Arabidopsis thaliana: one gene and its partner. The protein of the gene in region 2 interacts with the protein of the main gene of each other region in a pairwise test. Each region holds a gene or a part of one and is shown on either strand. Other genes may lie near its edges.

Evidence for each region.
Region 1: the proteins of AT5G53480 (region 2) and IMPA-2 interact in a two-hybrid assay, tested with the Arabidopsis thaliana proteins (one study listed by BioGRID).

What each region holds. Positions count from the first base shown.
Region 1 is NC_003075.7:9,127,492-9,142,332, forward strand, and holds IMPA-2 (importin alpha), read right to left. Parts: upstream 9,925-14,841; 5' UTR 9,644-9,924; coding exon 9,419-9,643; intron 9,331-9,418; coding exon 9,142-9,330; intron 9,057-9,141; coding exon 8,925-9,056; intron 8,810-8,924; coding exon 8,624-8,809; intron 8,542-8,623; coding exon 8,378-8,541; intron 8,291-8,377; coding exon 8,212-8,290; intron 7,855-8,211; coding exon 7,726-7,854; intron 7,571-7,725; coding exon 7,443-7,570; intron 7,335-7,442; coding exon 6,959-7,334; 3' UTR 6,957-6,958; exon of another isoform or gene 6,834-6,956; 3' UTR 6,259-6,833; downstream 1-6,258. Other genes in the region: ARA1 (arabinose kinase), read left to right, coding at 52-165; AT4G16140 (proline-rich family protein), read left to right, coding at 1,372-2,049; AT4G16141 (GATA type zinc finger transcription factor family protein), read right to left, coding at 4,381-4,800, 5,229-5,402.
Region 2 is NC_003076.8:21,710,782-21,726,587, reverse strand, and holds AT5G53480 (ARM repeat superfamily protein), read right to left. Parts: upstream 13,344-15,806; 5' UTR 13,106-13,343; intron 12,581-13,105; 5' UTR 12,573-12,580; coding exon 10,159-12,572; intron 10,078-10,158; coding exon 9,879-10,077; 3' UTR 8,710-9,878; downstream 1-8,709. Other genes in the region: AT5G53500 (Transducin/WD40 repeat-like superfamily protein), read left to right, coding at 1-421; AT5G53490 (Tetratricopeptide repeat (TPR)-like superfamily protein), read left to right, coding at 1,898-2,072, 2,304-2,437, 2,539-2,785, 2,877-3,100; AT5G53486 (uncharacterized protein), read right to left, coding at 4,059-4,184, 4,295-4,359, 4,575-4,631, 4,700-4,766; ACBP1 (acyl-CoA binding protein 1), read right to left, coding at 14,197-14,373, 14,460-14,557, 14,639-14,730, 14,934-15,022, 15,145-15,247, 15,634-15,806. UniProt on the Arabidopsis thaliana protein: Acts as a negative effector of drought tolerance. Involved in the regulation of stomatal closure and in the abscisic acid (ABA)-mediated pathway that lead to drought tolerance.

The DNA of each region.
Region 1 (14,841 bases), on a different chromosome or scaffold from region 2:
AGGAACTTAGTTATATATAAAAGCTCTAATGGTGTGGTGGTGAATGTTCAGATTCAGCAGAGATACAAAGCTGCGACAGGGTATTTACCGCTGATATTCGAAGGTTCGTCACCTGGAGCTGGCAAGTTTGGTTACCTCCGGATCCGACGTCGTATCTCTCTCTGATTCCCTTCCCATTCAACTTCTCCCTAATTTGGTAAACTTTTATTTATTTTTATGCCACGTTTCTTAAATCATATTCATATAGGAGTATCATCTCACAAAATAAGTAGGTCCGTTGTTCTCCACTTTCAAAATAATAATGATGATAATAATCATCTTTTATTTAGATAAAAATGATATGTATATACTGCAATGTTATGTTAAACATCTTATGCAAAAGAAAACAACTACTCTTCTTTTATTATTGTTTTATGTTAATCTCGAATGTGTTCAATGTGTTTGCATACATATTTGTATTTACTTCAAGATTTTGTTTGTGTAAGCATAAATGAAAGTAAGCATAAATGAAGAAAAAAATAGCAAATGAATATGGAAGTAGTAAATACGCTAAAAGCAAGTGGAAAGATGGGTAGTAGTATCATAATAGCAGGACACAGTACTCGATGATCCCTATTTATTATTGCTCATCTCATGTGCCTTTACTTGCTTTTTCATTTGCTTTTATCAAAAAAGAAAAGGAAAATTCCTATTCGAAATGATGCGAGTAAATGTCTTCGTTATTTTATATAGTAGTAAGATTGATAATTTAATAAGTCCGGTTTCATCTGACGAATCATAACTCACTAATGAAGTCAGAAGAGAAAGAAGAAATCGTGATCTCGTTTAGTTAAGAAGAAACCATTAAAGAGGATAGAGAGATTCCCAACAAATATGAGAGAAGAAGGCACCAACTTAAGTTACTGATAAACGAGCCGACATGCACGTGCTCTCTTCCCTTGTTACGCGTTCGTTCATTCTCATCGGATCCTATACGAGCTTTTTTCATCCAACCGTCCTTATTTGTCCACGTGCATGCTCTGCACTCAACCCGTTCCATCATTTGGAAAATGACCACCAGTTCAATAACCCATCGTGCAAAAAACACAACGTAATACTCAAAAACTATTTCTATCGTTTGAGCACAAATTTTGTATCACGGGCTTCACTATTTCTTTCTTGCTTTGTAATTCCATGAACAAATTTTTCTTTAAATCTAGAAAACAGTAATCGAAATGTGAGTTCAAGATAATTTGGATCTTTCTGTAACACTTTTGGTCAATTATTTTTAACTTTCAATATAAATTCAGTAAATGTGAGTATATATATTACATACAGTATACTTTAAAATTCTTCAATGACGTATTTATATTTCTATAGTTTTTTTAACAAATGGTGAGAAATAAAAAGAAGTGGTGTACACAATCTAACACGTTCCACTGGTTCACTCTACAAAGTGACCAAACACTTGCCCTTCACACTTCTTTGTCATCTTCCCTCTTTCCTTCTTCTTTCTTCCTCAAATTCACTTATTCACATTCTCTCACCAGACACAAACTCCAGATTCATCCGACAATGGAAACTTTCAGAACATTCCATCTTTTTCTCTTCTTCTTCTTCTTCACATTCACTACTACCCTGACGTCACCATCTCAGATCGCAGACTGTACAATGTGCACTTCTTGTGACAACCCTTGTCAACCAAACCCTTCTCCTCCTCCTCCACCGTCAAATCCATCTCCTCCTCCTCCATCTCCCACCACCACCGCCTGTCCTCCACCTCCTAGCTCCAGTGGTGGTGGTCCTTACTACTACTACCCTCCTGCTTCTCAATCTGGCTCTTACCGTCCACCACCTTCTTCCTCCAGTGGTGGCTACTACTATCCACCTCCTAAAAGTGGAGGAAACTACCCTTATACACCGCCTCCAAACCCTATCGTTCCATATTTTCCGTTTTACTATTACAACCCTCCGCCGCAATCTGTTATGTCCGGATCCGATGCAAAGATCAGATTCTCTTACGGAGTTTCATTTATTTTAATTTTCTCTCTTTATTTCGGTTGCTTCTAGTTTAAAACATAATTAAAGAAGATAATTAAAGGAAGAAGTAGCTTTATTAATATATCAACCAAACAGGTTCATTTCCTCAGATCCTTGCAGAGATTTTTTGCAGATAAGAAGGTAGAAGACAAGACTATGCATGAGAGATCTTCACGCTACAAATATTGAGACGATGAGAATATTGTTTCTCCATTTTTCTTTTTACTACTTTTGCTTGTACAAGTAGAAATATATTTGTACTTCTATCTTTAACAAATTTGTGTGTTAATGAATGTAACTCTCTTTTTTAATAATAAGAAAAATAATCAAATTGGGTTTTAATTACTTTTGTGTACTTACATTCCAATCTCAACAAACTAGTTGACGCAATAGTTTGGTTAAAAGGACAAACAAAAAAAAAGCATCATTTTTTTATACTAATAATCATATAGTATACCAATAGTATAACACTATTAAAATGAGTATATATTAAAGAGATGATGTAGAGAGGACATGAGCCACAAGTGACTGTATTGAATATAAACCTACTCGAGGCTAATATTGGGTCCTACTTTCTTCTTTGATATTGGAAAAGCCCCAAACTGCTATAAGTGCTTTTGGGCCTACACGTTCGACGAGCATCCGATGTAAGTTGATGTTCCAATTTTGGATTCCATCGTCATTATTTGTTTACGACAAATTATGTTTGTTATAAACCAGTAACATGATATTCCGACAACGAAATTTGGCCATTAGCGATTAAAACAATAGAATGTAGTGTTCTTTTATTATTGTTAATCAACCGAAATGTGTTACTAAATCAGCAACGGAATAACAAACATCCTCTGTTGCTAATTTGCAATCACTAGCCAAAATTAAACGAACAAAACTATAAAGATCAAACCATTACTATTTTGGAGTCAACCAAGATTTCAGTTTGAGTTACTAGACTGAATCACCAATGGCTATTATTGGACATTTTGTATCAAATTAATTCAGTTAAAAAACTTAAAACAAAGAGACACACAAAACTAGGCAATGATAAAAGTGTTTTCGAGATGAAGTGTTAATAGTTGAACTTCTATCAAACTTATGTGGAAAATAAACCAATTCACATTTTAATATTATTATTTTATTTGCTAAAATCATTAGCAACATATATTTAAATCTTTATCTGCTCTCTTAATCTGTTTCTTTACACGAAAATGAGAGTTTCTTTTTCATTATTTCTTCTATGTAAAAGATACATTACATTAACCAAAGAGATTTTGGAGTCATTTTGCTACTTAATATTTCAAAGTCAGAATCAATCTCCAACGTGATACAAATAATGTTTTTTTTTTCTTTTTTGTCAATATACAAATAATGTTTTTAGCTTGTGTTTCAGCATGTTCACATTTGTGGGTCTATTTGCATGCAAGTGTATACACAAAAATGGTTCTTCCTTATCATAGAATTTGCAGCCGCAAAATTTAATCTATAAATGCCATTTTCTTATTATCCTTCCATATTTTAGACGACAGGACGACATGCTAGAGAAATTTATATATAATCGTTTTAGAGTTTACCAATTAAATAAATAAATATCTAAAAATATAAAGAGAATAATATCTTTTAATTTTGGAAGCCAGAAAAATGTTTTATAACCTTTTGTTGTAAAAAAAAAGGACGTGAAAAAAAAGAAAAAAAAGAATCGCAATAAAATGAGAAGAGAGACCCAATTGTCTCCATCACCGGCTCTTATTTTTTTTTTTGTAATAAAAAAAATCTGTTTTTATTATAATCATCAACGAAAAGCCCAAAACTCATGAGCTGTTTATAGCTGTCTCGTTCTGAGATCACGCGCTTCAAGATCGCGTGGAGGTCGAGATATCCAATATATGAACAGCTGGACTTTATTTTGGAGCAAAATTTTCAAAATTCACATTAGGTTTCCTTTCTAATTCATAATAGTTTTTAAAAATAAAAGACTCTTTATCAATTGATTGACCATTAGAGTTTACTCAAACAAATCGTTACTAGCGAGTAGTAGTGACAAAAAGATCCTTAAAATTCACAATTTTGGAACTAATAAAAGATCATTTTAAGCCACCTTTAAGCGAACAATTAAGAATAGAGACATATTACAAATCATTCAACTTCAAAGAAATGATCATTAATCAACTAAACCAGAGTTCATACGATAATTAATTAGTAGATGGCATATAACATTAGCTTGCCTCTAAAATTACATTAACTAATATATATGATAAGTAGGATTAATAATCCTCTCTTCATCATTTCCTCACTAACTTATTTTCCCTAATCTCTTTCACTCAACCATTACGACACATCAAAAAAAAAGGGTTAAGAGACAAAATCTCAACCACAAGAAAGAGCCATGAGAAGTACTGCGGCTCGTTCCTCTTCCCCAAGTTTCCTCCATAGCCTCTTCTTCTCCACAGCCGATCTCTTCATCGCCGGTACCTTAAACCCAAAATCCAAAAATCTACCAACCCTTTTCACGTTCTTCTTGTTATTATTGCTGCTACTGGAATTCTCAGGATCTCTCTTGATTTTGTTCTTGACATTTCCTGGTTCACCTTTGGCAATCTTGACAATTCCCGGTTCACATTTGGCAATCTTAACATTAACTGGTTCGCCTTTTCCGGTCTTGACATTTCGGCTCTCAAGACCAAGATTGTTATTACTTTTGCTCTTGATTTTAATATCATCTTGTCTAATTCCAAGAGCTGCTTGTCTCTTCTTTCTGCTCTTGATACCACACGCATTGCACAATGACTGCAAACAAAGTCAATCCATGATCAGACCAGAGAACAAATAGTGAACAATCATCAAACAGATCTAAAATTAAAGAGACATAACCATCTCTTAGTAAAAAAGGCATCATAAAAACAGTGTAACAATAATCTTAACCTGATCAATTAGTAATAAGGCTTCAAACACAGAATCAAAACAAAACATAGAGATCACATAACAAATTTAAATATCAACCACAGATTGACACAAACCTCGCATACCTAGACTATGTATACACATGATCACATCAATGAGACAAAACCCACTAGCAACAGAGCTAAGCACACAAGATCAACCTACATTTTAAGTGGATTCAAGTACCTATTTGACTAGATCTAACACATGAGACCTTAAAGCTTGGATTTTTAAGGGTTTAAAAGAAAATGGTAGAGAGAGATCATGATCCTTACTTTAGGGCCAGCAGGTCCACCACGCCAAAGAGGAGTCCTGCTTGTTCCGCAATCAACGCATGTCTTCTTCGTATCACCTCCACTTCCACTGCTACTACAGTTCCCGTTGTCTACATCGGACGAATCTCCCGCCGATTCGAGCTTCGTCGTCTTGGTTTCTTCCGTCATTGACATCTACAAAAGAAAAAGACAATTATTAAACGTGATCATCAACTACAAGTAAGAGAAGGATCAAAAACGATCATGGAAACTCACATTGATCCACTTCGAAGCGAGATAGGATTGAGAAGAATAGAAAACTCTGAAACAGAAGAAAGGAGAGTAACGGAAATGGCAGAGAAGGATCAAAGAGCTCTTCTTCTGCTTGAATGGCTCTCTGTGAAGTTTAGAGTGAAGATGATGATGATAAGGAAGAGAGAGAGACGCCGCAGAAGAATAACGGATAAAACAAACGGAGAGGGTTTTTATAATAAAGGAGGAGGCGGGGACTAATAAACCCTAGATTTCTCTTTCTTAATTACTTTTTTACCCTCGAGCGCGGTGTTTTATTACTATAGAACCACCCGCCAAAAAATAAAACAACCACAAACTGAAAAAAGAAGAGGGAAAATCATTTTACAACAACAACTTGTAACAAAGATCTTGTGGAAGGGGGTTTTTTGGTATCTTGCTTGCTTTGGTACCAAATTTGAAATTTTAATTCAAAACCTGGCGCACGAAATACATTGGATTTACTCGTTGTGGTTGTTTGCCACGTTAGATTTCCCTAATTGGGCTTAGAGATATGCATGCATTTTTTACCAGTCTTTTAGATATTTTGTGTAATTCTTCACAATGAAATACGAAAAATTTATGTAATAATATTAGGTATATCGAAGACATGCTCGTGTAGTGCAACTTTTTTTGTATGAAAATTACAAAACATCTCTCTTTTTGGTCAATTTCATCTTATTTAAATTTGTGTAATCGACTTATGAATATTTGAGTTCTTTTGGGTCCAAGGCATACCTACGCTTATAAACGACAGGGATTGAACAAAACATAGGATTTTTTTATTATTGAAACCCTCCCTACTTGAAGTTGACGATAACCATTAATAACATCGATTAATGGAAATATGTTGAAACTAGATACGCGTGCATATGTAGACAATAGCCCAAAATGACTTGGACCGCACTAAAATAGATTATAAAAAAAAACATTTACTATAAACAATAAAGAGACGAACCAATTGGGCTTTTATGTCACCAATAAGACCAAATAAAGTTTGACCAACTTTTTTATGTTTGACTTTGCAGTGTTGTGTAGTACAAATGTAACAAAAACCCAGAGAGACACATTCTCATCAGATCACACTTTAAAAACTTATAAACCCTTTCCCAAAAATAAATATCCCTTGATGACTCCTACCCAACTCCCCCCCAACAAGCTTATTCCATGACTCAAACCCACCAACCACTGGATCTGACCGGACCAGGCCAGACTAAGTAAGGCACCCCATCTGACTTTTACACAGAAGACCAGACTCTCTAATCATACCCTTTTTAACCAGTGCCCCCAAACTCTTTAAGCTCCTTCGACTCTTCAAATCGTCATGTTCAGCTCCTGTGGAAGCAAAACCAGACTCACAGATTCACACAAGGTAGACACACAGGCAGATTTACTCTGTTTGCTAGTCTAGCCTTAGATGCTTAGATAAATTAGTCCCAAGTAGTGAGGTTTTTTTACCTTCACTGGAAGTTGAATCCACCTGGTGGTACGGCTGCATCATTACCTCCTCCAAACTGGAAGCCTTGTGCAGAGGGATCACCAGGTGGTAAAGTTTCATCTTCCTCTTCCAACCAGTACGTTTCAAGAATCTTCACTGCCTTCTCATAGATTTCGCTGTTGTCATGACTCTGCAGATTCTCAATCTTTTCTAATCCCTCAGCATCATCGATCAGCTGTGCATAAAAGTTTACATCCCCGGTATTTCCTGTGACCTTTTCAGCTTCCCCAACTTTCAAAATGTTCTCCAATCCTTCCAGACACACAGTGATAATCCTTGGATCAGGGCACACCAAAAGATCACACAGTGGTTTCACGACTCCCTGTTCCACCATGTACCTAAAACACACAACGGAATAACTTAATTGACTGTTTGAAAAATAACCAACAAAGATTCTAAAGGAGTTGAGATCAACAGAACATGGAGTTTATATCGGATAATCTTACTTGATTTGGTCAGGAGAACCACCTGAAGTGGCATTTGATATTGCCCACGCAGCTTCTTTCTTTATATCAAACTCCGCATTTTGAAGCAGATTGACAAGAGGGCAAATCAAACCAGCTTCACACACAGCCTGCAATACCACAACAATATTAGAGAACATAAACACACAGAACATCTTTCTTCAAACAACAAAAAGGCTTCTGAAACATGTCTTCCAACATTAGTGATTAGTTTATGAGAAACTGATAAGCTGAGCAGAAACAACAATCTTTAGCAAAAGTTCACCTGAATCTGGTCCCTGTTTCCAGCAGTGATATTTGAGATTGTCCAGCAAGCTTCCTTTTTGATGCTCTTCTTATGATTGTGAGTCAGAAGGCTCAAAAGGCTAAGAAGTGCACCATGACTAATTACACACTGTAGAACCAACCAAAAAAGAAAGCAAAATAAGTGAGGAATGGTACATGTGTGAGATTCTTAAGAGTATTATACATACTGCCTTAAATTAGTCTAACTATTCAAAAGGAATGTTAGGTATTGCATAACTAGGGTAAAAAACATGCAGGGGGGGAAATAAAATCTGGGAAGAATTGACAGTTCCCATTCTAGAGATTCATCTAGGAAGAATTTGACAAGTAACTTTTGACAACTAAATGTCATTATCAACAAACTCAGATTCAGCTTTCTAGCCAGTGTATTTCATTCTTCCCATCAGTATTGGACCATGTATCCTGAATAATATGAATGAATGACACTATAAAAGAACAAACATACCTGTGTCTGCAGATCATCTCCAGTGACAATGTTACCAATACTACGAAGGGCAGGAATAAGCACAGATGGTGATTGATGCCTACAGCAAAATAAAATTGATAATATTCATTAACACATAACATTCATTATACAAAAGCACGGTGAAATCATGGGATTTGAAACTCACTGGAGAAGCTCGACGAGTCGAGGAACAACACCTGCCTCAATGACAGATTGGATTTTGTCATTTGTGCCATCGGAAAGGTAAGAGAGAGCCCAACATGCATCCGTTAACACTTCCTCATCAGTCGAATGAATCAGGCGTTCAAGGGCTGGGAGTGCTGGACGGACCTGTTATTAAGAGATCACAAGAATTAAAAAGAAAAACTCCTTCATCTTTGGGCAGAGATTAAGATAGGAATGAGAGACAAACCTGGTCAAAGGGAGGCTGTGGCTTGCCCCTGCAGAAATTAGAGAGGGTCCAAGTAGCATTTCTCAGCATCGAGAGTTTAGCATGCTCATTCAACTGAGAGAGTAATGGTATCAAAGCTCCTTGACCAAGGACAAGATCTCTGCACCGTGGAGAATCACCAGCAACATTCCCTAATGCCCACACAGCCTTACACATGAAAAGATTAAGAAACAAACAAGCTTTAGAACATGCTTGTTCCCGAAAACAAACAAAATTGACAGTATATTGAGTCATGAGAAAAAACCATAAACACATATCTTACCTGCTCACGGACATCATCACTCTGAGAAGCCAATAGTTGAACAAAAATCGGAACAGCACCATGTTCAATGACCACCTTTGTATTCTCTGAAGTCCCAGAAGCAATGTTTGTCAATGCCCAAGCAGCCTCAAACTGAAATCACACACACACACACAAGTAATTAGTATCAGAAGACAATTCTAGCAAAATATGACAGATACATAACGATCCACCAAACCTGAAGCTGTGGATAATCCTCTCTAGTGAGAAATTCCACAAACCGAGGCACAACACCAGCATCAATCACTTCTTCAATCGGAGGACTACGCTCAATAGAAAGCAATTTCCGGAACTGAGTAGTCGCTTCAAGCTGTAAACTTCTATCATCTGACCAAACACCACCAACCATAGCAGGCAAACTCTCCAACTAGCCAAAACCAAAACCAAAATCAAAATCGAATCGATCTAAACCAATCAAATCCTAGGAAACGGTTCCAGATCGCTAGTAATATTACCTTCTTCTCAACAGTTGATGAAGCAGGAACAGGAGAAGGAGCGAATTGAGGTAGCTGATTAGCTTGAAGGCCTTCACGACGCTTCTTCTGTAAGCTTTCTTCACGCTTACTCTTACGGATCTCGACCATGTTGTCCTCTCTCCTCCGTCTTCCTTCCTCAGCATCCACCGCCACTTTGTAGCGGTTCCGGCGAACCTCAGTCTTAGCGTTAGGTCTCAAAGACATGGTGGCTAATACGAATCTCCTCTTGCTTCGTGGCGGTGAATGAAAAATGAGCCAACGAGAGTGGAGACGATGTATGTATATATATGAAAAGTGTATGTATAGAATCGGCGGATTGGTAGAGGATGATAAACCCTAAATGAAGTAGAGGGGAACGAGAAAAGAGGAAAAAAGGCACAGAGAGAAAGATTGAATTTCGTTGGTTTACAAAAACATTTTGGTAAATCTAAATTTTAAGATTCGATACAGAGACCATTAATTTACTTAAGTTGACTTGTTTATTCATTAGTCTTTTCGCACCGACTAAATTTAATTTAAAATAAAATACAGTTTTTTTTTTGGCAAAACTTGGTTTTGTGAAAGTAATTTTAAAAGTATATTATATTCGTTTAAGAAAGTTTAGAGTAGAGAACTTCGCATTTGAGTTTGACGTTGAGGAAGACGTATGAGCAATGCTCATATATTGGGGTAGATTCGTCTGTTGGAGCCATAACGATTGCAAGTACCTCTGGTAGCATTATCTAGGAGGTGAAAATCTGTTATTCTCTCTCCGTTCTTATCTGATGAAAGCTAATAACAGATTTTCACCTCAACTTTCATGGTATCAGGTCTTTCCCACAGACTATAATGAATTTTAATTTAAATGAAAAAATCGTCAGAAAAAAATACTTATGTTTTTTTAATCAAACATCTGGCTTTGTGAAATGGTGCATACGAATTTAAAAGTGTACTCGTTATAAATAAACACAATCATCATTACTTAAGACGGCTCAGCCAAGTTTGGAACTTTAAAGAGAAGGTTTTTTTAAGAAGTATACACATATATGTACGGCTGAGACATCTGATCTCTGAGGTCTTTTTAATGTCTCTTTAAAGTTAAGACTCCAGGAAAAATAATAACATGGTGATGGAGGTTGGCTTTTAGCGGAGATCGAGGACTTCATATTTGAGTTTGGCATTGAGGAAGACGTGTGAGCAATGCTCGTAGATTGGGTTACCGTCTTCTGATTCTTCGTGTGGGTGGAAGCCTCGTTGCTGGCAGTTTCGGATCACAGATACGCCTGATGGATCAGAGAGATGGAATATTCCATGAGGTGTTGATTCGTCTGTTGGTGCCATTACGATTGCCACCGCCTCCGGTAGCATTATCTGGGACAATAGATATAGATGATGGTTTTACTATAATCGCATCATAAGTGATTAACATAGAGATATTGATAAGGGGAGTTTGTTACCTGATACGAGTAGTGTGTGTGTAGATCAACTGATGACATGAAGCAAGTTTGTGTAGGGTGTGTCTGAAACCAAAATGTAAATTAGCAAGACGAATCGATAAAGCTTATCAACTAGTGGATATATGGATTCACAATTGTTCTGAGTAACGTTTTGGTAAGTCATTATCTGGAAATGGAAGATTTTTTAGTTCGGGTGAGAGAACTTACATGAATCCAACCCAAGGGAAATAGAGAGAGTCTGTCCTGTACTCGAATATTTCTTCTCGTTTAGTGTTTGGCACTGTACATTACCCAAATGATGATGAACCTAAGTGTGAGAAGCATACCAGCGAGAATTAAAAAGATTGTTATTGATGTAAATGGTTAAGAAAAATGAAGAACATACAGAATCTGAGGTAGACTCCTGCTTTGGGATTATGAGAGTAGTGATATGAAAAACCCTGTTTTTCTGTAAACATGGCAAATAGACAGAATATAAGTAATGGCGAGCTGATCATGATATTGGAATCAAAAATTATAAATGCAAAGGTTCCATCTACTCACCAGAGAACCAGCAAGTACTCCACAAGTTTCTAAATTCCGTTCTGTGTTTGACCGAGCTAGCCTTAGGAAATCATCCATTATGCGCACAGGCTTCAGCAAATTTAAATAAAGGGTGACAACATTAGTAGTAGATTAAGAAGAGGTGAAAGAGAAAGATTTCCAGAACCGATTCTAGCAAGCTTTTAAGAAGCTGTAATGGTCATGAATCCAATACTTCGATGATTTAATGTGTTGATTCTTGAACACATACCAAATAATTAGACTAATCATGGATAATTTTCTACTTGATATGCATATCCCTTCCACTTTACTCTCACAAACACTATGGAATTGGTGGAAACTGCACAAAAGTGAAAGAAGATACAGCTGGAACATACCACATGCAAATGCTGATAAGAATTGCTGCCCTCTTTTCCTTCTAGGGAAGGAATTGCAGGTCCTGGTCTAGGATCAGCTACTTTAGATGGGCAAATTTGGGCTAACTCTTGATGCACTTGAGCAAGCACGGGAGGAGGGGAAGGTTGCTTCATACCGACAAACTGAAACGGGTCTTCAGTTGCGTCGCTAATAAACTGGGAATTTACTGCCTCAGAATGACGCTGCCATCGACCATCATCTAAGGAGAGCACAGAGTTCAGTGTTGAGACTTCTTGAGAATCACCATTAAGTGATGCTGAGGAACTGCTAGGTCCAGCTTCAATTAAACTGCAGAAATACATGGAGTCAGTTTGAAATAGCCATGACTTCTTTAAGGAAAAGCTTAGAAGGTAACAGAAGATGAGTACTTACCCTGAATTGTCCGCAGAACCCCAATCTGTATTACTCGGATATTGAACCTATCATTCCATACAAAATAAAGATTTTTCTCAGTTCCTTCAGATCTAAGATAATTAAACATTGAATTGGACCAAGAGTAAAAGAAAGAGTGAGAAAATGTGAGAAAGGTAACAATGATCAGCACTATACCTTTATCTCTGACTTGGGTGCAACCATTTGCCTTTTAAGACCATTCGGACCTAGAAATGAATGTCTTGACAAGGTTGCTTGGTTTGGAGGCAGGAAATCAAAAGATCTGCAGGTTCAGGAGCACAATTAAAGTCTCAATGATCATCCCAGATTAATATGGAGTAGCACTTGAGTCTCATAGACTCATTTCTTGTTTCAATATCCCAAAACCAAAGAAGAATTCCACAAAACGCAACCAATAAACATGATACCATAAATAGAAAATCCAAGCAGCATTGGCAGTTTAGTCCATCAGAATGGTAGTTTTTCTGGTAATAACTAATAAGTGACCCAAACATCGTATATATATGGTGATCACAGAAACAGGTAGATGTAAAGCAAGAAAACCAGTGACACATATCGGATGGCATACCCCTATTTCTCAGGGTTCCTAAAGCTCAGAGAGCTTATAGTGTTTGAATTCCTATTAAGCAGAATTACCGACAATTATATTAAGGGAGAATACTCACAGCTTCTGGAACTGCTGATCAATCTGTGTACGATTTGATGATGAAGTCAGATTATTGTTATACGTCCAGGATGGTTGAGATGTCGGTAAGGGCTGCATCCAGAGAAGACAAAAAAAATGGAAAAGGCATTGCTGGTAAGAAATCACATGGATTTTGAAGATGCAATGATTATATAGAAATCCTAGATTATGTACTCAATGCAAACTCCAAGTCTTACCTTGTTAATATCAGGTCTGGAGTATGAAGCTTTGTGAGCAGGAGGCCACTCAACAGCATCTGAACTATATGATACGACCGGGAGATCACTTCCATCCTGACGGGATTCATCCTCAACTCTGTTCAGCTTATCCACTAGCTGGTTGAATTCCGGTTTCAGAGACTCGAGCTCATTGATTACAGCACGCAACCTCTGTAGCACAAAAAAAAGACCAAATCTGAGGACACTACTAAGTCTAGTAACACTAAACAACATTCGAAGGTTAAAACAGAAATACCTGACCTTCCTACTCCCAAGTCTTTCTTGTGGAAGCGATGCCTGGTAATCTCGATGGAAAGGAATTGTTTCAGAAATCAAACTGCAGAAAAAAAAAAAACTTGTAGCTCTTTCATGGAACATACAAAAATTCAAAACTACATATAGAGATACTTTTATCCTTACCTTGAATATCTAAGAAGCATGATATACAAATCCACCACATTCTTCTCTTCGCGATATATACTGGCCTGAGCAATGTTCAAACATGTTACCATTTGATTTTGTAACTTTCTCAGAAATCAATCACTGTTTTAATTGATAACCTAAACCTAACAAAATCAATACCAAGTTTACATTCTCCAGTTTCTAAACTTGTCAAATCCTAAAGATGCTTTAACATGAATTAAGAATCTACATCTAGAGTTAAATTGAATCGAAACTCCGTTGCGATATCGGGAACAGACCTGTCGGAGGAGATTATCGGCGATGCGGTAGTAATTACGGAGAGGAATACGATTATCCACTTCGATTTCACGAGCCACCTTGTTCAGATCAATCTTCATCTCACCGTATCTGATTATACAATTTAGTGCTTCACGAATTCAAATCACTTTGCCGGCGAAAGTTTTGCTGAGATCGAAGGATCAATGGCGCTGAGAAAACGTAAGAGACGGAGAAGAATTAAAACTGCGTCGTTTATTAAGAAACCAATTGGCAATTTCGACATGATTACCAAACCAAGTTAAAAAAAAATCAGTCGAAACATATTGGGCAATGTCGACATTTTCTTATAACTTTAGGGGTATATTTGAAATTTTCAATGTGGAATGATATCTTATGGAACTATTAAGTGGTTTCAACCAGCTGATGATCGAATTGTGTGGAGTTGCAATATTATATCAAGTGGAATAAAGATGGATGAAACATGCCAAAGATGTTTTTCAGTCAATTATGATTGTTGCTACTTAGTACTTATAACAAAAATTTGTGATCATTATGGACTCCAAAGTATTGGTGTTTCTAGGGTAAAATTTAGTACCACTAGAAGCTGAAGCAATCCTTGTTAAATGTAACTCAAAACATATGGAACATAGGGTGGATAAGATTTTGAGGGTGATTGTCAAGTCTTAACCAAGACACTTAAGAAATATTGGAGGAGGAAATTTCAGTAACTAAAAATTGTGCAAAGAAATCAGATATTAGGCATCTAAATCTTGATTTACTCGCTTCACCTATATTAATCGAACTTGTAATGAAGTTGCACATATTTAGCTAGAAAATGACAATATTTCTATAATTCTATTCAAGCTGTATTTACCCTCCACCACGGTGAAAGTGAAACAATCTGTTTTTATTATTTCAGCTACTAACTAAGCATAGACTCAGCCACAAAACGTAAAAATAAGAACGCATAATCACTAGTGATTATTGAACATATGAAACTAATGTACATGCTACACATCAATTGTTTAG
Region 2 (15,806 bases):
AAAACACATTGTTTCAGCTTGTGAGGACTCCAATGTATATATATGGAGCAATGATGAGGAATCAGAAACCAAAAAGATTCGATCTTTTGAACGTTTCTCCGCCAATGCATCAGTTGCAGCAACATGGTGTGGATTCTCAGATCACAACACAACTCTCCCGTTTTCTTCTCCATCATGCTTATCTCACAACGAAGGATTTGTCCCCGGATCAATATCCAAAGGGAGTGCGACATGGCCAGAGGAAAACCTACCCGCAAATCCTCTGTCCACATCCGCGATGAATGCATCTCATTACAAGTTTCTCAAGTCCTCTTACCAGAGAGCATCCAGCTCTCTATCTTGGGGTATGGTCATAGTCACAGGTGGTTGGGATGGACAGATAAGAACATTTCAGAACTACGGGTTGCCTGTGACTACTTGAAAAAACCTGTTTCGTTTTCCCAACTTTGGAAAACAAATCAGATGCCATTGTTCCTATCTTGATAGGCACAAGCACATGGTTCTAGCAGATCATGAAGCAATGGTGGGTCCAAAACCAGATCCACTCTAAGATCTCTGGAGATACATCAATTAGTCAAAAAGTGATACAATTCTGTTACTTCTCCTCAAGATTTATCATCATCTTGTAGAAAAATCTTTGAAGAAGTGGTCAGTGGGAGAGGTTTCAATCGGTTGATGTAGACGCAGGAGATGATAAGGAACAGATGTTTCTGTTTTTGGCAATTAGTGGCGGTTGGAGATGGTTTTTAGACAGTACGGATTTGTCTGAAAATTGACAGGCGATTATTGTAGGGTCCAAAACCAAGAGAGGCAAAGTAGTGATCATGTAAAGGAGTGGTTGAAGGAGAAAGATGTTGACGTTACTTCCACAAGAAAGATCTTCCAATGCCTTCTCCTAAGATCCTTTTTTCAATTTAGGATTTTGTATTGATAAATTTCTAACGTAGTGATTATTGATTCGTTGATTATGTGTAATTTGAGTCTCTAACGTGTAGATGAGTTTGTTATATAGCTTTGTTCTAGATTTGATTTCCACTTATTATAAGAGACAAATCAATAGATTGTAAGAGCTCTCCACCTCAAAGAGAGGCTCCGGAGATTTGTAGCTGTAAATTTTGTACAGAGTAAAACTTGTTTTCTTCCAAGTACATACAGTTAAAAAAAACTAGAGTTTGTGGTGTAACATGAATTACAAGAATTGTTGAAACTTGTCTTGGCGATTTACCCACTCTTTGACTAAGCAGTAAAAGAAATCGCAAATATATGAGAACACATAGTAAATGATGATCAATGAATCTGAAAATTTTCTGATTGACCAAATCGAGATAAGGTAAGAGTTTGTGGTTGAATGTTAGGAAATTGTTGTGTCAAACAAATTAGTGTGTGCAATCATGAATGATGGTTTTGTGCTCTAGGGTTTTAACTTTTAATTGACCTAGAAGGATCCGATAGACTATGGAAACAAAAATCTTACTAATAATATTCCGAGTGTATCTTATAAGATAACCTTACATTTGTAGAAGATGTTCTCATACTAATCAATTTTTTTAATATCTTTTATTAGCTTACACAAAATAAATATAATCATTTATTATTTAAAATCGTTTTTAATGTAATAAATACAAATATAAATTTTATTTTAACATAAATAAAAATATATAAAATAAAATATTTACTATTAAGCTATTAATTACGTATTTAGCATGGTAAATCATATATTTTGCGTGGGTTAGAAGTCATCAATAATATACTGTAGATGTTTAACCGATGGGCTGCACTACTTGATATTATATCCAAAACCGATGAAAGATTTACAAATGGACCAAATAGTAATCAGGCCCAATGGGCTAAATCGTATATAGTCTGATATTATGATCTGTCATGCCACGTCATAGGCATGATCCATAACGAATTGATAAAACTCTATGGTTGTCCAAGTTCGAACAAAAATCTGAAACACACTTCCATGGCTTCGCTTCCTGTTCAATTCACGAGGAATCAAATCTCTTCACCGTTTTTCTCTGTAAACCTCCGCCGTGAGCCTAGATCTTTAGTAACAGTACACTGCTCCGGTAAATGTCATCTTTTTTCTCTCTGCTTTAATTGGTTTTTCAAGATCTCTCTGCTACTTCTTCTTGGTTGTACGGTTCTTCGAAATTTCTAAGTATTTTCAAGAATCTTTAGCTTTACCTTCAATGAATTCATCTTTATAGATGGGTTTATGAATATTGTTATGTCAAAATCTTGCTTTTAAAGTGAAGCTAAAGTAGTGTATGTGATCTTGATTTGCATTATGTTCTCAGCAGGAGAAAACAGAGAAAATGGTGAAGGTGTAAAGAAGAGTCTCTTTCCTCTTAAGGAGCTTGGATCTATCGCTTGCGCAGCTCTCTGTGCTTGCACTCTTACAATAGCTTCTCCTGTTATTGCTGCTAACCAGGTCTGTCACATTATATGGCCCTTTCTCTTTTCTATGTTTGTGTCTGAAGATGGCTATGTTTTAGAATTTAAAGAAATGGATAAATGGATTGTTTTTTTCAGAGACTTCCTCCGTTATCAACAGAACCAGACCGGTGTGAAAAAGCATTTGTTGGTAACACGATAGGTCAAGCAAATGGTGTCTATGACAAACCACTGGATCTTAGGTTCTGTGATTACACAAATGATCAAACTAATCTCAAAGGCAAGACTCTCTCTGCAGCCTTGATGGTTGGGGCTAAGTTTGATGGTGCAGATATGACTGAAGTTGTTATGTCAAAAGCTTATGCTGTAGAAGCAAGCTTTAAAGGTATATAGACTTAAATCTTGAAATTTGAAAGCATATGGTAAAATTATGGACCAAAATGTTAATTAATGTTTTAGTGTGAATTCTTTTCTAGGGGTGAATTTCACTAATGCTGTTATCGATCGGGTGAATTTCGGGAAATCGAATCTGAAAGGTGCGGTGTTTAGGAACACGGTATTATCCGGTTCGACATTTGAGGAGGCAAATTTGGAGGATGTGGTCTTTGAGGACACTATCATTGGTTACATAGACCTTCAGAAAATATGTAGGAATGAGTCCATAAACGAAGAAGGAAGACTTGTGTTGGGATGCCGATAGAGAAGAGAGAAGGTTTTGATTTGAATGTATTATATATGTAAGATTTAAGATTTGTTGACACAAAGATGTATGAAACTAAGTAAAGGTTGAAGGATAGGAGTCAAGAGAGTTATGAGAGGTTGTATAATCGATTCTTGTAAATTCTGTAACCAAACAAAAGGCGTTTTCTCTGTTTCTCTTCAATAATTTACATAGACATATTTAAGTGTTAGTATGTGAATTTTATGTATGCTTGTGAAATATGTATAACCATAGTAACTAGTCTTCGCTATAAATATGTAAGAGAAGAGACAATGAATAAAAGCGCATCTGGTGTAGTGGTATCATAGTACCCTCCCACGGTACTGACCAGGGTTCGATTCCCTGGATGCGCAACTGTTTTAATTTTATATTTGTTTTTTCATTTTAGTTTTATATTTTCTTTTTTTAAATCAACCATTGCAATCTTGTTTCATTTGTACTATGTTATTGTAATAGCGACATATAAGGTTTTAGCTATGATAAGCATAAAATCTGTCTTCATTTCTTTTTCGTTTAGTGATCATGCTGATAAAGAGTTTTTTACTATGTGTTTGACTGCATAAGATTGAAATCATCAACTAATGTGAAATATTGTAGAAGACGCATTTATAATAATACTATACAGAACTAAAAATAACCATAACACTTTATTTATTTTCTGATATAACGATTACACAGGATATAATGGCTATATTATATATGTCAATGAAATAAGATGATAATAAATAAGGATTTATTATGTCTTGTTATTAGACACTAATCCTTTCACTAGCGGGTTTCCGAAGGGTATTTTACACTGAGCTCATCCTCAAACAAAAAGAGTCAGAATGGAGGATACATCACATACATATTCATATATGATATATAGATATTAGTGCATGTGCTTATATATATGCTACTATATATATAATGACAGAGATAGTTCTGTGTTGATGATTCAACCCTTGCCTCCGGGCCTTCTCCTTGGGTCGTGTTTAGGGTTGGGTCCTGCGTCGTCGTAGTCCGCTGTCGAGTGGAACATCAACTTCCTATGACCCATCTTCTTCACACCCACCTCCTCACTCTTTTTAATTATAAACACATAAATTCTTGTCAATATTTGGACATTAACAACATTTCTAATGTTGATAAGAACATATATAAACGTAAAGCATCTACATGTATGATGTATACCTTGTAAAGCATGGAACTCTCATGCATCTTCGCACCGTCGAGCTGGATAGAGCCTTCCACTATGGCTAAAAGAAAACACTCTGTTAGCGGAATATACATTGTTCTTTAAGTGACTTATTTATTTCAACCCATACTAGTTAGTTAGATGTGTTTTAATTTTGGAGAAAGAATGGAAAAAGTGTTCACCAATATAATAGTAATTAATAATCAATGGTATTAAGGTAGTTTAAGGCACTAGATTCAACAACGAAGAAAAGACTAATGTTCAACAAGATAATACCAAAAGCTGATCTCGGACTAAGATGGATGTGTTGGGACGCAAGGTTGATAGTCATCCCTTAAAACAAAGTTAAAAGACTATAAATTGAAAAGGATGGAATATATGAATATCAATTATATGTTTACCTAATGATGAAGAGCATATAATGAGAATGAGGAAGAGTAGAGATAGGGGTTCAATCCTAAGAGGCATATTATATGGTTTTTGATGATTACTCTTTGTTCGTTTAGGGGAGAGAATGCAACTAATCAATGGAAAATGAGGACAAAATGGATTTTCATATGAGAAGATGGGGAAGGTTAGTTCCCATTTTATAAACGGTCAAGTTAATGTGGTGGAAACTGTTATGGTCCATGTATAATATTAGTCGTAATGGTGATGATGATGACTATGACAATGATGATGACCATGACTAAGATGGTTGGTTCTGTTTATGACAATGAAAATATGTAAAGCTCTTATCAATATAACTTTTTAAAATAAGAATATCACGTAGATATCGATTTTTTTTATATATCACAAAACAATTATCAAAAAAAGGTGAAAACAGTGGTGAGACTACTAACATCAAAATGGTGATGATAGTAGCAAGAACAAAAATGAGAAGAATAAGAAGTTATTGGGTTAACGCAATGAACCTACAGGCCACAAACCCTAGAAAAGGTTGAAAAAGTCAACTTAACTGTTGATTGTGTTACATCTCCCAAAAAGGAACACTTAACGCTTACCTCTATTTATGCTTGTGGACAAAAATCGTATATTAGCTAGTAACCTCACTTTTTTTCTTAACACACTTTTCCTTATAGCATGACATTGTTCAAATTTCAAATTCTGTATATCGTTTTTATCTTATGATTATGTTAATTAGACCGTACTAGATATACTATAGACAAAAGTCACAAAACTTTAACTACCAAACAAAAAGTTGACGTTTCTTTTAATTAGCCTTTTTTTCTTCTGGCAATCAATTTTTGATGATAGATAAATAGTTTATCTATATTGTTAATTTGCCAGATAGGAAAATGTAATTAGGAATAACAAGTTAAATCTGAGTATAGATTACTAACTGTAAATGTTTGTGAACCAAGTGAAGTGGGAACCATCAAATACTTGAATTAGAGTAAGTTGTGCCCTAAGCCATCCGAAAGGTTATATATGTGGATCAAATCATAATGAAAAAAGGTTTGTTTGATGCAAGAAAAGTGACCTAATTCATTAACTTGAGTGGAAGTTCATCTCTTGACCATATAAATTTTCATTATATCCTTTGAGTTTCATTAAAAAAAGAAAACATTTTTTTTTTATTTTACAATTTTAATCGGTTTGATCTCAAAACACTCTCTATTATACTAGTTCTTATTTCTAAGTGATGTTTCATTTTAGATGATTTTAGTCAAAACCAATATATTTTCTTAAAGGAAAAGTTTCATTCTGGTTACATGATCGATTTTAATCTAAGTTTTAACTTTTAAGCCCATTGTTTTCACCACTTTTTCCCATACAGCTGTAATGTATCATAGGTTCGATGAGTGCAGCACCACGTGTGATCTTAAGTCTACTTATTGACGCAAAATTTTATTGGAAATTGAATTCTGCTAAGATAATTGGGTCCATTATCAAAAGTAAAGATGGAATCATACCAAACTCGTACGTAATTATTGTAAGTTTTCAATGCTGTTAATGAATCAAAACGAAAGCGAAGATTTGTATCAAGGGTACACACTTTTCAAACAAAGACCCTACAAATACCCAAACTTGAACACACTTATTAATCCAATGATTATTTTCAAAACCTTTTAATCCAATTTCTGTTTGAAATTTTGGTTGTTATATTTAAATACACCATGTACAGTTGACATATTAGAACAAAGATCAGTACTAGTAAATTAAAGTTTAAATGTGGAATCAAAACATTTTCCTTGCGGTCAATGTAAATTTTACAGGGATCAAAATAGATAGACTAAGTTCAGTAAACTTCGATCACATAAACCAACATGGTAGGCAACTCCTAGACAGGGGAATAACGTAAGTAATTAGGAAGTCAAAAGATGGTTAGGGCAGATTTTAAAATCCGTGGTACCAAACACTAAATAATTTGATACAAATAAAGAGAAATAGTGGAACTAATCCTTCCATTTCGGCCTTCACAACTTTATAAGAAGTCAACTAGGATTGAGACAGACATAGCGAGTGGCCTGCAAAATGTATCAGAGAAGTGCATCTTTTTAAGTGACCCATTATTATAGTGAGAGACCACTATCCCCCAAAATCTTATTTTACAATTAATAAACATCGTTCCTCATAACATTATGTGTTTTGACCTAAAATCCATAATTCTACTAAATCCCAAAAACTAAAGAACTTTTACCCCCAAAAAGTCACCATATGAATGGTTATACTTATATATATGTGTGTGTGTATTGCACCATAACCCATATATTTTAGATTAGAAGACTTTATAAATCCCCTCTATAGATCCTTTCATATAAAAAAATGGTTTCGCACTTCAACTTTCTTAACTGGTTAATTATTTCCATCTTAAAATGTTTTCTCACAACCTCCAAGTAAATATCTGCAGTTTTCTATAAAAAATAAAATGAAACAGATTCTTTTTCAGCATCTGAATATGATAAAAACTAATATAGACTACACGTACATTAAACCAGCTAAACTGCTTAAGTAGAATCGTTGTACTATCTAAAACATTATTCACTTAACAGTTAACACATGTACGTGCAGCTCTTCTGTCCGAAGACTATGCATGACTTCACAAAAAAAAAAAAAAAAAAGGGAAAGTTCGTGAGTAGGGAAATAATCAATGTGTCGGCAATTATATGTTGCGTTTAAAAGGAGTGATGAATAAGAAACCAATGAGCCACTAAATTAGCAATGTTTTATTGGGCAACAACGTACGTGTCTTAAGTCTTAACTTCTGTTGTCCAATGTCAACTACACAGAAAGACGACGAAACGTACATCTATTAGTCTTTGACAAAAAAAAAACGTACGTCTATTAGTTAAAAAAAAAAGAGAACAAAAACACAATTTCAATACTAACATAGTTTACAACGCGAATAATAAATCACGAGACACCCACAACTAATAATTTCACTACTTTTCTTAAATATTTCCTTCGTTTTAAATTTTTAATATACAATTCATCTCATAAGTGTAGTTTTTTTTTCTGTAGAAGACGGGAGACTAAAAATTATAAGAAAAATTACAAACTTACTTGCCTTAGGCGCACATACCCAATAACATCATCGCTTAAGAGCGTATCAACATTAGAAGGAACAACATCAAAAAATGAAAGCCATCAGGCAATGAGAACGCATAGTTAGATCTATAAATGTAGTTTGAACCAAAGTTCTAGTTTTTATCCATTAAATTAGCTTATATATTAGGTTTTCGTTGTCCTACTAAACGAATTAATTTTCTTAAAAAACATCCGTTTTTTTTTTTTTTTCAGAGTTTTCTTTAATGGCGTTCATCTTCTAAGAAAGTATTTACTAATCATTATTATTTTTAAAAATGTATTGATCCGTAACCTTAAGGTAAAATGTGTTAGATAATAGCTATTGAAAGAAAAATTGGAGTTATTTTTTGTCGCAAGAAGTTCATGCTTTAATCAATAATTATGTTTCTTTTGACTAATAACTTGGATCGTAAGATTTTCTCCTTTTTTTGGCAGTTTCAGCTGACGACGCTCATATATCTTTCGGTGCTATTTCAGTATTGCATTTAAAGACTAAAGGTAAAGTTTAAAGTCGCAAAATAAAGTATTAACGCCGTAATGAAATTATTTGAATATGAAAAAAATCGTCGCGGACGACAAAAATGTTTTTTTTTTTTGTGTGTGTATCAGTGTATGTGATATATGTGGGTGTGCTTGGACAAGTCCTTTGACAATAAAAAAGGCCCACTTCGTATTACCACCATTCTTTTTCAACTCCCAATTTCAATTCAGAGTGGCGTGTCCTATTTCTCTTGGATGTTTAGCCATCATCTATCTTTTATGTGTTTTATTGTCCATTTGAGTGAGATTTAAATGGGTATGTCATCACAATGAAAAAAAAAAAAATACCAACAGAACCAACGTTTCTCTCGCCTAAATCATCAATTCGAAAAAGATATGTCGAATGAATTATGACATTATATATTTAGTTCAAGAGAAAAATTCTCGAGACGTCAGAAACATGGTTTGGGACTAATACATAGAACCGAGAGAAACTAATTTAAACCATAACTTGAATGGTCTAGAATGTTTCAAATACACATGAAAACATTTTTCAAAATATAGGTTCGGTATCAGTTGCATTTGGCGTTTGGAAAACCAAAAAAAAGCAACACATACAATCAAAATTGAGGTTTCCATAAACAGCGTGAATGTGAAATGTTCTTCGATCTCTTAACTTGACTCTTTGGAAGCAGAGTAAGGCAGGACGTTTTCTCCTATTAACATGTGCCCTTTCCCATATAGTTCGAGCCAAATCAAATAATGGATTCTAAACGATTGTAAACAGTTCCATAGTAAAATGAATAGATGTGGACCTCTTTAAGACCCTAAGACATGACACCATATAATAAAAATGTTCCTGTATGTGACATTTGAAACTTGATTGCAAACAAAACACAAGTATATATGCAAAACCCCCTAAACTGCATCATAGCAAAGAGAAGATAGACAGACATGTGAAACTTCTTTATATAAAAATAAAAATGTGAATAATGCTTTTAATCAAACATACAAACCCCCCCAAAAGACAAAATGATGATGCAAAGACTGCAACTAACCAAATAATAAAAGAAAACAAAAGAAAAAATCAAGGGATTGTCCTCTAATAATGCCCCCACTTGATAAAAACCTGAGACCTCTCCCTCCTCAAGGGGTTGAAGAACATATGAGAGAAAAGAAAAAACAAGAATGTATTATGAGATGTTCCATGAAACCTTTTTTTTTTTGGTATAACTTTGTCCCAAAACCCACCAGAAAACGACCATGACTCACTTCCTCCTCTTTCTACTCCCGGGGATTTAACCTTACCCGGGAAACTTTCACCCGTGACTCTTCCAGTTTCATTATTTACCCCAAAACTCATCATTCCCCACATCCACGACTCAACGATTCCCTGACTGACCCCAGTTATGCTGATGATGCAAATGAAACTGATGCTGATGATGCTGATGTGACTCGGATGTTGCAGCTCTACCCCTCCCCCCGACCGACTCAACCCACCCAGAGATGCATGCAGACTTTACTAAAAAGCAAAAGGAATTTTCTTTCTTATAGGCAAAAGAAGAGCCTTCAAACAGATATGGCACGGGTTATGGCATGCTTCGCCCATTCGGCTGCTTCTTTAATTGTGTGGTCTTCAGAAGACAAACATTCGTTTAAGAACTCTTTACTTGACACTGACTGTTGTATCAAACCACCCACATGACTCCCTAGTGTATCTGCTAAATCTCCTAAGACCCCAATCGCTGTCTTCATCACCACCTCGTCCCTGTCCCAAGGCAATTTTACCACAAAATTAAACAACTGCTATGACATAATAGAAATTCAGTTGGGTCGTAACCAAACTTACATGTCTTTCTCCATGTATATACTGTCCAAAAACTGGAGGATATGGGGTGCGAAAGGAATCAGGAGCTGGGTTTTGGCGGAGTTCTTGAAACCTTGAAATATGCCTGAATAAGCCTCAAGGATTCCGTTTCTCAATGAGTTTGTGTACTCCGTCATTTCATCATCAGCTCCAGCCGAGTGAGCAGATAACTCTGCGGCACTCTGAAGCATCGGCATTGAATACCTCCAGTACTTATCAAAATCCTCACCGATAGCAAGTGCTATGTCACCAAAACAGGAGAATATCGGTGGCTTCACTGATCGGTGCAATTGGTTGCTCGACAAATCTTTCAGAAGCTGTGTCATAATCCCATCGCAATAAGGTAAAATCTTGTCCTCCAATGCTCTGCAGACATCCCCAACAACACCAACAGTAACAGCACACACTTGGTATTCTTCAAAGTTTTGAAGACCCATCTCCAAGTACTTATAAAACTCAGGCATGTATTTGGCAAAATTGGGACCTGCTGCATAAGCAAGAGCACCAATGGCAAGCATGGCTTCCTCATGTGCAGTTGCACTTCTACAACCAAACACCCTCAGGAAAAGTCCCATCATTTGGTCTGCATACTCCATGAACTTAGACTTGGTTGGTTCAGATCCTAATTTCTGTATGATGACCTGCAAGCATCCACATAGAAGTCCCTGCAACTCGTTTTGTTTCTCCCTCTCATCCAATGAAAGCTTTTCCCCTTCCAAAGTATTGTGAAGCTCCATCATTATCACTGGTACTAATTGCAGAACCATGGTAGACGTTTCATCAGTTGAACACCTGACAACTTCATTCAATGCCTCATATGCTGCAGTCCGCAAGCGTGATTCAGTTGCATCCTCTCTGTGTGCAACAGCTAAAAGTGACTTAATAATTTCCTGGAAGAAGGGTGTTAACGGAGAACTGGGACCGATATCCTCATAGCCTTGAGCAAGGAAGTACAGAGCCCCACAAGCCTTCTCGGCAACATTAGGCGCATCATTCATGCTCTGGATGAGTACTGTGATTATCTGCTGGCAGTTTGCCTGATTAATAATAGGTGTCTCGATTGTTGAACCATGAAGGAACTCAAATATCCGACCAAGGGTCCATGCGGTTGTGTCTTTCACATGGTTGCTTGGGTCATTTGTTAGAGCATTGAGCATAAATGTTAACGCTGCGTTAACAATTGCCATCAACTTATCGGCAGAAGGGCCTTCCAAAATGGAACCAAAAGCATAAGTTGCAGCTTCTCGCTCTCTCCAATCAGGCTTTGATATTTTCTCTTCAATAAACGGCATGACATGTGGAACAATGTCATCTCCAACTGCCCTAGCAACCAAACCGAGGCATGTCCCACCTGCCATTGCAATATTCCAAGCCCCTTCATCCAAATCTTGATCTTCTTCTTGCTTCAGAAGAGTCTCCAGCAGTAGAGGCACAAGACCAGGGAGAGCCTGCTTAGTAAAATAAAAGCATGGAACATCAGAATCCCCAGCGAACTCACCACCATATTCTTCTAAGATGTCAATCTCTTCGTCACAAATAGAACTCCAGAACTCAATTGCCTGTAGAGCAACAGACTCGTCATCTTCTCTTACAGCCTTAGCTGTGATGTTGAATATATCTTGCATGTAATGCGCCAACTTCTCATAGTATGTGGAAGCGATAGATACCAAACACTCAAAAGCTGCCTGCCTAATTTTCACCTCAGGGGACAGGGTTGCTTCACACACAACTCTCATGATATAATCACGCTCCATGTCGTTGTTGAAATTTGCTTGGGCGAATCCGAGAGCCATGTATAAAGCACGGGTTGCAGCAAGTCTAACATCAGTATTACCTTCAGCAGCATTCATACCCTGAACAACAGCTGTGAGTATCTTATTTACATGCTCCTGTTCAACAACATCAGGTGACACTTCTTCACATAGGTATCCAAGAGTCTCCAAAGTGGCTTGCTTGACATGAGCAGGTAACTGGTGAATATTTGAGAGAAGAGACACTATGAGCTCAGGCCACTGCTTCTGTGGTAACTCAATACCTGCAACCTTAGCAATGACCTGAGATGCAGTCGAACGAACATCAGGCACAGGTGCCGACAGTGTCTTCAACAAGAAAGCTCTGATCTGCGACTTTGTTGACATGTCTAGAGCCAACCATCTCTGAACAAGCTCATACTTCCTGTGTTGTTCCTTAGCATCAAGAGCATTTTTAAGGACTAAACCAGCTAATTTCCTGCTATCTACTGGCTTCTCATCATTCGCAAGCTCTCCAGCAAGCGACAACAAGAAACCCGCAAGGTTTTGCTCCTGAAACTGCTTAAGACTTTCTTCCGCGTGCTTACGTACAGTTCCATCAATCGACTGAGCATTAATGAGCAACTGCGTAACCTCCATTGCCATAGGTTTATCTGCAACAGAAACAAACAGATTCAGCAAAACTGAAAATAAAGAAGAAGTAAGACAGAATCAGTAAATTAAGCCAACAACATGAAGAAACTCGTCAACGATCCAAAAAGCCATAAAGGTGAAAGACTACTAAATCACTATGAATCGAAAAAACCATGTAATAGCAATAAGAGATCAAAGCACGAGCCATTGACGCTTAAAAACACTGTCAGATTCAACTATAACAGCCAGAACAACAGATCCGAGCACGAAATCGAATATAAAACACGAAATCAAACTAGTTACTAAGATGACCAAATCAACAAGTTAATAGAACAAATGAATCTAACTAAAAAATCGAAAAGCAAATCTCAGATTACGAACGAGTTCAAATCATAAAACAGTGAACAAATCGAAACTAAAGTTGGAAATGGATGATTGAACGAATCGAGATCGAATCAGGAAAAAAAAAAAGCGAATTGGGAAGTGATGAATCTGAAGATGGATCTTAGGGAGAAAGTTGAATAGATGAAGTGAAGAAGGGTAACCTAGAATCTCGGCGGCGGCCGATCGGATAAAGCGGAAATCGGGGACTGGAGAGGACAAACCCTAGAAGCCCAGAAGGAAGAGAGAGAGAGAGAGAGAAGAAAAAAATCAGTTCCAGCGAAAAAGGGAAGAGAGAGAGAGAAGAGAAGAGAAGAATCGGATGTGAAGATGGACTTTAAATTTTATTATTAAACTTTTAACCAAATATTTATATAAACAAATAAAAAAACTGTTTTGAACACAAATTATGTAAATCTATTAATTTTGAAATTGTTTTCCAAACTTATATATATTTGTACTCAATTGTATATTTAGGTTTTGTTCAGTGTATCCTAATATTTTTATAAAAACTATATATAGGAAAATATCTTTTAAAATTACCCAATTAAAAAAAAGTTGTATAAATCTTCTAAATATGAAAATTTGTTTCCAATCATAATTGTTTGTTCAGTGTATCTTATTTTTTTCAAATAAAAACATAAATAGAAAAAAATCTGAATTACCCAATATATATATAAAAAGGGAAAATATTTTTCTTTATGATTTTTGCACACTAAAAATATATTTCTGATTAAAGAATTGATATAATCTGGAGTGATTATGTCGTACATCGCGTGTTGGGTGGTCCTTATCTGAACCCCACCTTATATATTCTCATCGTTAATTAATCAACGGTCCGGATTGTTTTACAGCGAGATGCGAAGAAGAAGATTTTTTTTCTTTTCTTATTCCGAAGGTACAATTTGTATCATATTTAAAATACTTATAAATTTTACAAGTAATCAACAAAATTGTTTTACAGGTATGATAATAATGATTCAGATGGCTGAAAAAACATGAAAGGGTCACGAACGAAAGAGAGAAACATTATACTAACAAAAAAAAAACTATTATTGAGTTATGATGATTGATGATGATGATCTCTCTGGGTTCAATATAGTAACCAATAAAAACTAGAGCTACTATATCATATGTAACTTGTGTTGTTGTATGTTAAAACATAAGCTTAAGAGGAAGCAAAGAGGCTCAGAGGAAATGTAAGAAAAACACAAGCATCTAGCTTTGACACACAATTTTAAAGACTTAAAAAACACTAATTGGAATCCTTCTTCTCTCGCATCCAAGACCATTCTGATTCACAGAGATCAAGAGGCGAGTTTCCGTCTTCGTCTTTAATGGTTGTATCAGCTTTCTGCTTCACCAGAAACTCGGCGAGTGCTTCTCTTTCGCACACAACAGCATAGTGTAGAGAGGTTTGGCCTTCATTGTCCTGCACAAAGTTTGTCAGCGACAAAAACATAAAAGTCTGTAATTGAGAGAAAGAATTAGTTTAGGGGGTTTTGGTTATTTATTTACTTTAGCATTCACATCTGCGTTCTTATCAACCAGAGCTTCAGCAACGTTAAGATGGCCACGGTCTATAGCCCAATGCAGTGGTGTTCGACCTTCACTATCTGACATTTCCAAGATGGAGAAACTGTTAAGTTTCCAAACCAGATCCGAACATTCTGTGAAAATGATACAAGACTACTAACCTCTTGCATTTACGGGTATGCCATTTTCTATGCATTTCAATAGATTCTCGACTTCTCCTTCTCTAGCAAAGGCGTGTATGGCGTCAATCTTCCTGGAACATGGAGTAAGAACGCAAGAATGAACAGAGCTTCTACTATGATTTAAACTAACACATGATTCTTTGATCTACCTAAGGTGAGTATTATGATATATACATTCCTTCTCTGATCTAGTCAGCTAGTCATATAGAGAAACTGAGAAAAGAAAACCAAAAGTTCATAGATGAATCTGTAACTAATTGCTTAGGAACCTTACAACTCATTGTCAGATTCCTCTTCGTACACCAATGAGCTAAAAACCGGTCCCATGGGGCCTGCAGCCTCACCACTCCGATTTCTTCGTTTCTAATAGTCCGCAACGAAGCAAACAAGCCAAGAAATAAAGACAGATTTAAGAACGAAAACAGACCATCCATAAACAGTCCAAAGAAATGGGAATAACAGAAGCAGGTAAGAAGACAACTAACCGAGCCACCTTCAACCCAAGCTGGGTAAAGCTGAGTAACAAGGTCGATATACTTCTCCATCGCTTCCTCAGGAGGCATAGCACCCAATTTCTGCCATGCTTGCCTAGAACAAAAAAGATCATAACAAATCTCAGTCGATCAAAATGCATCCCTAAGTTACCAATCAACAAAACAACAAAAGCAAATCCTTTCGGTACTCACACAAAGCAAGATACATCCAGGATGAAGAATAATCAGTACATCACAAGTAAACATGATTAAGTAACAATCTTCACAGTCATAAGATTTGAATCAGATCACTAATCAATACACCAACAAAAGCAATCCTTTCCATACATTAGCAATGAAAGATACGAACTTGGTGAAATCAAAATAATATACATCCATGATCAAGAAACATCAGTACATCACAAGTAAACATGATCAAGCAATCATCTTTCACAGTCCCAAACATTTGAATCAGAGAATCAATAAGAGTGTTAGACAAACCACTTGGCACGAGCAGTCATTTTAAGAGCTGATGGTTGAGGAGCAGTACAAGGTCCTTCAGTAGCAATTTTATACAATCCATAAAGCTGAAGTTGCAACTCATTAGAAACTTTCTGCGAAAGCCTATCCGATGCAGCAGCAGCAACAAAAGCCGTAGCAGCACTAAATGCCTC